Linked DNA regions of Rhinolophus ferrumequinum. The protein of the gene in region 2 interacts with the protein of the main gene of each other region in a biochemical or structural test. Links are inferred from orthologs where the notes say so. Each region holds a gene or a part of one and is shown on either strand. Other genes may lie near its edges. The genes, in order: FMR1 and NUFIP2.

Region 1 (3,910 bases), on a different chromosome or scaffold from region 2:
CTTTTTTTCATAAATGTAACATTTCTTCATAACAGTTCATTTTTTTTATTGGTCTTTATTTCTCATCCTTTCTACCCATCTCACTGGACAAGCAACTCAGTTTACTTTTGCAACTCAGCAATATTTTGAGTCTTATAAAATTTTAATCCTTCTTCATTATAGAAACTATTTTTCCACCAATACAGACCATTTGAGATTTTCTTAAAAACAAACCGAATTAAATAAACATAACAGCAATTTCTTTAAGCACATTTGTTCAAGTTTCACTTCCCCCCAGCCCCAAGGAACTACAGGACAACCCATTTTTTTATTCACCTTTACATTAAGCAACTTTGTTAAAAAACAAAAAGGGAGGACTACTGGCAAAGATAGAGGGCATTTGTTATCTTCTAATGAGTTTGCAAGCAAAATCATGCGAGCAAACATAGGTTGCTGGAGAACAATACATCCTTCAGATCGAGCTGTGCTACTTGCTACTCTATAGCAAGCAAACTCCACTAAAAGATACATAGTGGCATGCGATCTAAACTAAGGTCATAGATTAGGATACTGTTCAAACATTAGCCCCATTCATATTTATTAATAGTGTCACAAATCTAGTGAGCAAAACTACCAGTCTTGGAACCAGAATAATTCTACACAAACTTAACCAGCAGAAATTATGAATCACTGAAATAAACGCAACCAAAATTTTGACTGCCCAGTCCCCTGGAACAATTTTATATTGGTGAGAGTGTTAAGAACATAAATGTTGGATTATTTCCTCCTCCTTTTACAGTGAAAGGTTTTATCTTTTTGCTAAATGTATGGTACAGTTTACATGTACATGCTTCACTCACTTACGAAATATATTAATTTGCAAATACTTCCAAAAAATTGGTAAACACATAGTTAGTAAGTCAATTTTTGTTACTTTCCTTTAGCGAAAGGGGGTCTCATCTGAAACGTTTAAGTGATCCCGTAATAATGGTAAGAATCGTGTTGGACAATGGCAATAGCTAATTTCCATGCTTCCTTTCATATGCATCTTCTATTGAGAAAAGACTGTAGTAAAGTGAGATAATACTTGCTGAAGTTATAGAGGGACATTGAAGAGGAAATGGGAATTTATAGATTAGCAGATCTATGGTATGTACCAAGACGCACTGCTGATAGGTCAAAATATTTTTAATTCTCCTTCTAAAAATGTAATATATTAGTGATCTGCATAGGTGTAACTTAAAAAAGAAAAACCCACAGTAAACCATGTATGCCTATTTAAAACCCCCACAATACAATCCACTGCAACACTGCACATTCAGGGAAGACAGTCAAGTACTTACAGCACAAAACAATTGTTTCCACTCACTTTAAAAAATTCCCTAGTAATAACATTTAGTTAATTTCCTGAAGTTTGATAGCATGTATGCAGGTCTTTGGAGGGTTAAAATTTTGTTTTTTAAGTAGCAGAGTTGCTAATGATTTTAGATGCTGAAGCATCTGTATTCCTGAATTTGTCCACATTTGTAACAAGGGAGGGGGCCGAGAACATTGAAGACTGCCAACTTCTTTAATGCATTAGTCGGATAAGTATCTTCCGAAAAGTTTGGGATCTAAAAATCTCTTCTGAAATCCACAAAGAGAGGGCACTAAAAATCAGTTGCCATTGTGATTTGGTACTGACTACAGCTTCTTACTCCTCTTTCTTCAAACCCCTTGCCCAGAACAGTGGAGCTCTCCGAAGTCCCAATGCTGGACCGGAAAACAGAAGCCAAAGGAGATCTCAAACCCTCTGTGCAAGGCAGGAGGCGGCTCGACGGAAGCGCCCCCCGCTCTTCGGCAACTACCCACACGTCAGGCCCGGAACCCACTGGGAGAGAATATTTAGGAAAAGAGAAATAAGCCGTTGCCGTCACTTCGCGCGGATACCGGCCCTTCCCGCCGGGATCTCGATCGCGTACCTGCCGCCGGCCCTTGCCCACCCCCAGCTCTGCCTGGCAGGGATCGTCCCCCGAAAGGGCACCCTCGCCTCCTTGCCGCTTCTCATTCCGACAGGCGCCAGGGCCTCTTGTAGGAGAGGCAGCGGAGCTCGAGGGGCTTTCTACAGGCCCCAAGTCCGGTCCTTCCCTCCCCAACAACATCCCACCTAGCGCGCCCTGGACCCCGGGCGCGGCGCTCGGGAAGAGGGCCCCAGGCCTGCCTCCCTACGAGGCCGAGAAGAAAAGGGAGGGAAAGAAGGGCGAAGATGGGGCCGGCCCTGGAGCCAAGTACCTTGTAGAAAGCGCCATTGGAGCCCCGCACTTCTACCACCAGCTCCTCCATCTTCTCGACAGCCCTGCTGGCGCCGGGAGCCCGCCCCCGAGAGGTGGGCTGCGGGCGCTCGAGGCCCAGCCGCCGCGCTACCGCACGCCCCCCGGTAGCGGCGCCGCGGTCACTGCCTCCGCCTGCGCTCGCCGTCGGCTCAACGCCCGCTCCGAGGCGGCCCTTCACCGGAAGTGAAACCGAAACGGAGCCGAGCGCCTGACTGAGGCCGAACGCTCCAGCCGCTCCGCGTGTAAACAGTGAAACCGCATCACGTGACCGACGCCGCCCCTCCCCCCGCGGGTTCGGCCCCTCGGCCCCGCCCTCTCTCCCTCCGCGCGGGCCCTGGAGCGCACGCATGCGCGCAGCTCCTACTCGGCTGAGGGGCCGGGCCCAACGTAAGGCGCGCGGGCTTGGCGTGCGCAGACTTAGAGGAGGGCGGGAAGGCGGGAAGGGCGGCGACAGGTCGTACCTGCTGGCGGAGGTCAGGCCGCCTGGTGTCGCCAGGCGAGGGCTAGAGTGCCCATCCCTGTAGACCTGCAAGGGGAGGCGTGGGAAAGGGCCTCCCGTAAAGATCAAGTGCATTCATTTATCTGAGTCCTGGCTGGCTGGGTGTGGAGGGTTTTTGTTTTGGTTTGTTTCTGTTTAAGTGGGGCAGAGCCTGGTTGAGGTGGAGCTGGAGTGGGGCACAAGAATAAAGGTGAAGAATTAGATTGAAGAAGACAAGACTTTGAACTAGTAACAGTGGCAACCACTGCGACCCCGGCCTGTGTGACCCTTAGAGGCAGAAGGTGAGAGTAACGCCGCTCCCTCCCCCAAGACATTTTGGGCTTTCCTGTGGATACATCCTGTGTCCTCCGAGAGGCGATGCAATTGTGTCCGGACCTCTGGAAACGTTAGTCCTGCCTCAGAGCCAGCACTGATCCATGCGCTTCCCTTCCCTCCATTCAGTTTCATAGCTTTACTTGACATATGTAAAAAATGTGTTACACACTTGTTAATTTAGTTACTTAGTTTCCCTACTATTTCACTTACGCCTACCCTGCACCAGAGGGTGTAATGGGCGTGTGGATGGCAGTCACGTACATCGACAGGGGCTCAGGCACCTGTTTCCTTGCAGCCCTCACCCTTCACCCTCCACAGAAGAGCAAACCCCAACTCGTTCTCATCCTTGCCTCTGCAGCCTGCTGTATCCACCTTGACCTAGGTTTCATTTTGAAGGCTTGTATCCAACGGAGAAGTTGCTTGAGCCCATCCTACTGCCAGGCACTGGGCTAAGTGCTAGTGAGACCTTGGTGAAGAAAACAAGGAAACAGACTGTCAGCATTGAACTTGGACCCCCGAGGCCTAGCTGGACATAAAGCAAACGATCAGAAGAGTTCATATGGAGTTGCAACTGTGATAAGGGCTATGCAGCATAGGTACACCTATGACAGTGAGACAGGGCCCAGTCTGGGGTTGGGGAGGGCTGGTCAGAGCTGGGAAGTGACTCCGGTTGGAATGTGACCAGTGAGAGTTCACTGACAGCACTGAGTTGGTGGAGGCGGGGTGAACTGCCCCAGGCTGGTGCCCCAGAACGAGAGGCATCCTTGGGCCTCCAGTTCCCTTCCCACCCCGTTCCTAGCCAGAG
Region 2 (3,910 bases):
GATTAGAAACTGAAATTATTGAGCACATTTAACCCTCTCTTGCGCCCTCTTCTGGATAAAGAAAATCTTCCTCTTTATAGGTTTGTGGGTAATGGGTCAAAAAAGCCCACCTGAACATACTGGATATATTTCAAAAAACCGGTTTTCTTAGTAAATTAGCATTATGCATGCTGAAGCAACAGTAATGTGACTAGGCCGCACATGAAAACCTGCTCATCCCAAATTGTTTATGTTTCTCAAAATTGCTAAGCCCAGTTTGAAGGATGCCACCTTGAACGGTTCACGATCTGCTTCTATATGTAGAGAGGAGTCCTGACGGTATGTATTAATACGTGACCAACAAAATAAAATTTTCCAATCTGAGCAGTAATACTGCCTTATATTCCAAGCAACCATAAGGGAACATTTTCTCACCTTTAAATTGAAAAAGATGAAACGTTAAAAAGATCTAGTGTTGTAGTTTTTAAACTGTTCCAAATCCTTAGGATTAAGCACTCAACACATCTATATATTCATTTCTACTGCACACCATCAGTCCCTACCCCTACCACCTTCAAAAACGGAAGGCCTGACATTTCAATTTCAGTCTTCAAATCACATTAAGTCTGCAACAGAAAAGCAGTGTTTCTCCCGCTCTCAGTAACAGCTTGTATCACATTTGATAGGCTAGGTTTAAGATTCATTTTCTTACCATTCCCTTCATTTCTCTTCAATGTATAAAGAACCCCTATTTTTAAAAATTCCCATGCTTATAAACTTTTAAGTTCATTTCTTCTCAAATATTTTCTAAAACGACTTTTACCCTCAATTTAACGATTGTTAAAAAAACAAGAGTTTTGGGATCAGTAAAGGTTTGAAAAGGGGAAAACACCGTTCCTTTCAAAATGGAAACAAACCTCCCTTATCCGAGGCAAGATGGTAGTGAACCAACCTCACGGATGAGCCATCTCGGTTCACCCTTAAGGACAAGAAATAGGGGTCAAAAAAACTCGCCCCGTACGTACCCCATCCAATCATTTTTCGAATCGCTCGCCTCAAAAATACTACCCATGCCCTGAAGGTAAATGTTGGGGGTGGGGGAAGTAGAGGGAGATAGAACAAGCTTTTCTTGTAAAAACGAACTGCTAGAAGGAAAGGGCCCAAGTGAAAGCCTGAGAGCCGGAGTCGTGAGCGAACCTGGCAGAAGATGAGGTTCCTGTGGCAGAGAAACTCGTGACCCGGGAGCCGGGTTCCCGCTGGGTACCCCACCCGGCCTTCAGGCACCGCCTCTACCCAAAATGTGCCCCCCCCACCCCCAGCCCTCCTGCCCCCGAGGGGCGCCGAGGACCCTGCCCGCGATCCGCGGCCTCCTTCTCCCTCCGCTCTGCCTGGAGACCCGCGCCCCGGCCGCCCGCGCCTCCCGCCTCACCCGGGAGCGGGAAACGCGACGGCCGGCGCGCGGGGCCCAGCGCAGGCCGCTCCCCTCGTGGCCGCTTCCCTCCCCCACCTCAACCGCCCCCGCCCCTCACCCCAGGGACCCGCCCGGGGCCGCGCGGCAGCCACCGGGTTACACAACCCAGCCGGCGACTGGGGGAGGGGGGCCACGAGCCAGCAGCGCCCCCGCAGTGCAGGGGGGCAAGGCGACTGCCGGTGGGGATCCTGAGCTCTCGGCTCCGCCGCGCCGGGTGCCCCTCGACACCCTTCCCCCTCCGCTGCTCAGTGCGCCGGAGTCGGTGACAGGAATCGGCTTCCAACATGGCGGACAGGAAGCGGCCCCGCGAGGAGGAGAGAACATTCCAGCCGCGCCGGCTCTGGGGGGAGCGGGCCCGGAGAGCCGGCCTCGGGAGGAGCCACGGGGTCCGGTGCCCAAAAGGGGCGTCTAGGGATGGAAATGACCCGAGAGACTAGGGGTCCCAACCGCCCCCCCAGACGGGAACCCCAAGGCCACAGGTGGGCTTGAGGTGGCGGTGAGGACACTTCTCAACTCTGCCCACCTATCCTCTCCTCGCCGCCTGCAAAAGGGTCTCGCGACACCACCAGAGTCGGGATTCGCTAGGCCTTTCTGAGTTACACCCTGAAGGATTTGGGGGGCTAGGTTCACCCCAACTAAGGGCCCCCAAATTAAGGTCCCCCCAGGGCCGCAAGAAGGTAAACGGGAAAAGAATAACAACGTTAGACTTCCAAGGCCGACCCTCAGGGTCTTCCTCCAGCCCCGGCGGGGGCCGGGAAGGTCACACTGGCCTGGTTGGGCCTCTCCCATGCTGAGAGGAAGGAGGGCGCTGCAAACCCCGCGGCCCAGCCCGAGATTTGGGAGAATGAAAGGGGGCTTCCCCAGACTCGCACTACACACTGACACTCGCAGCACCCCGACCCGGTCCGCGCTTTCCGGATCCAGCCCCACCCCCATCGCCCCTACCCCCCACCCTGACTCCCCTTCCCCCACTCGTCCTCCCTCCCAGACCTGTTTTCTTCTTCGGCGTTTCCTGGTGCTGCTGGAGGGCGTGTTTCTGCTCATGTTTCAGCGGCTTTGACTGGGCCTTGGGGCTGCCATCGGCTCCATGCTGTAGGTATTGGTGAGGCTGCTGGTGATGGTGGTGGTGATGGTGGTTGTGGCTGTGGTTGTAGAAATAATAATGGTGGTGGTGATGCGACTGCTGCTGCTGCTGCTGGGGGTGATGGTGTGGATGGTGGTGGTTGTGATGGTGCTGAGGCTGTAGCTGGCCGGGCTTCTCCTCCATTGAAAGCGGCTGGGACTCCCTGGCTGAGGCTGCGGGCTGCTGCACCGTCAGGATCTGAGACTGCTTCTTCGGGCTCACTCAGTATATCTGAGCGCGTCTCGCCTGCGCACTGGTTAACCGAGCGATTCTGCGAGATTGGCAGGCGTGCTCCAGCAATCGAGAGGCACGCTGCGCCGCAGGCCCCGCCCTTAGCCCAAATCCTCTGTCCTCCCCCTTCGCCACAGCCTCCTGGCCAACGCCACTTACCCTGTGCAACCTCACAGGGCTGGGCCTTCAACGTCAGCACTATGGCTCTCTCTTCTGTCGCTTTCTCTCCTTCACCATGCAGTCTGCGAACAGCACTTTCTACACTCCTCGCCCACAAACAAGCTCATGTCGAATGTCGGCAGATTCTACGGGCGATTCTACTGGCTTTGGGAGCCATCTGTTGGTTTTGCACCTCGTAGACTCTGTTGGCTTTTTTTTAAAAATCCTTTTCCGGGTAACCGGAGGGGAAGCGCAATTCCTTAACCCTGAGACCACTAAAGGGGCAATACAAAAAAGAGGAAGTAAATAAATACATTTTTAAGAATACAGGAACTTCACAAATCTGCAGATCATTTTGTATTCTGGATTCATTTTGCTTTGTATTCATATGCTAATCTCTTCCTTTCCAGGGAGGGATTATAGGGTTCCACAATGGGGTATCTGTGTAATTTTCTAAAAGGGCACAAAGGGTTTAAATCATTGTTTCTTTGTAGTTGGAGGCAATGGAGAGCGGGAGGAATGAAAATCTAAAATTTACACAGAATTAGTTGTTTTTTTTAACTGCAGGTAAGGTCAACTGTGAAACCAAGATAGATTTTAGAATATGAAGAGTTTCAAGAGGAAAAGAGCACTTTAAAAGTTAAGTTTTTTTTTTTTCTGCATTTATGTAAAATACCGGAATTTGAAGAAATATTCTTGCGTTTTGTAATGTTGATTTAACTTATCCTGCATTATCACATCACAGCCAGATTTTTAAAAGCAAATGTTAGAATCAGGATAGTGGTTACTCAGTAAGGAAAAAAAGGGTTGTGATGATTAGGGGTACGGGTACCTTCTAATATTTTATTTTTTTACCTCGGTGGCGATTATATACATATTTACTTTATAATTATTTCTTAAATTGAATATGTATGTATGTATGTATAATACACATTTTTCAGTTCATG

Evidence for each region.
Region 1: the proteins of NUFIP2 (region 2) and FMR1 form a complex in vitro, tested with the Homo sapiens proteins (2 studies listed by BioGRID and IntAct, with this or other methods). The link is inferred for Rhinolophus ferrumequinum from reciprocal best matches to the Homo sapiens genes NUFIP2 and FMR1.

Annotation. Positions count from the first base shown.
Region 1 is NC_046284.1:10,596,807-10,600,716, forward strand, and holds the start of FMR1 (fragile X messenger ribonucleoprotein 1), read right to left. Parts: upstream 2,545-3,910; 5' UTR 2,302-2,544; coding exon 2,251-2,301; intron 1-2,250.
Region 2 is NC_046304.1:18,309,273-18,313,182, reverse strand, and holds the start of NUFIP2 (FMR1-interacting protein NUFIP2), read right to left. Parts: upstream 2,841-3,910; 5' UTR 2,718-2,840; coding exon 2,441-2,717; intron 1-2,440. UniProt on the Homo sapiens protein: Binds RNA.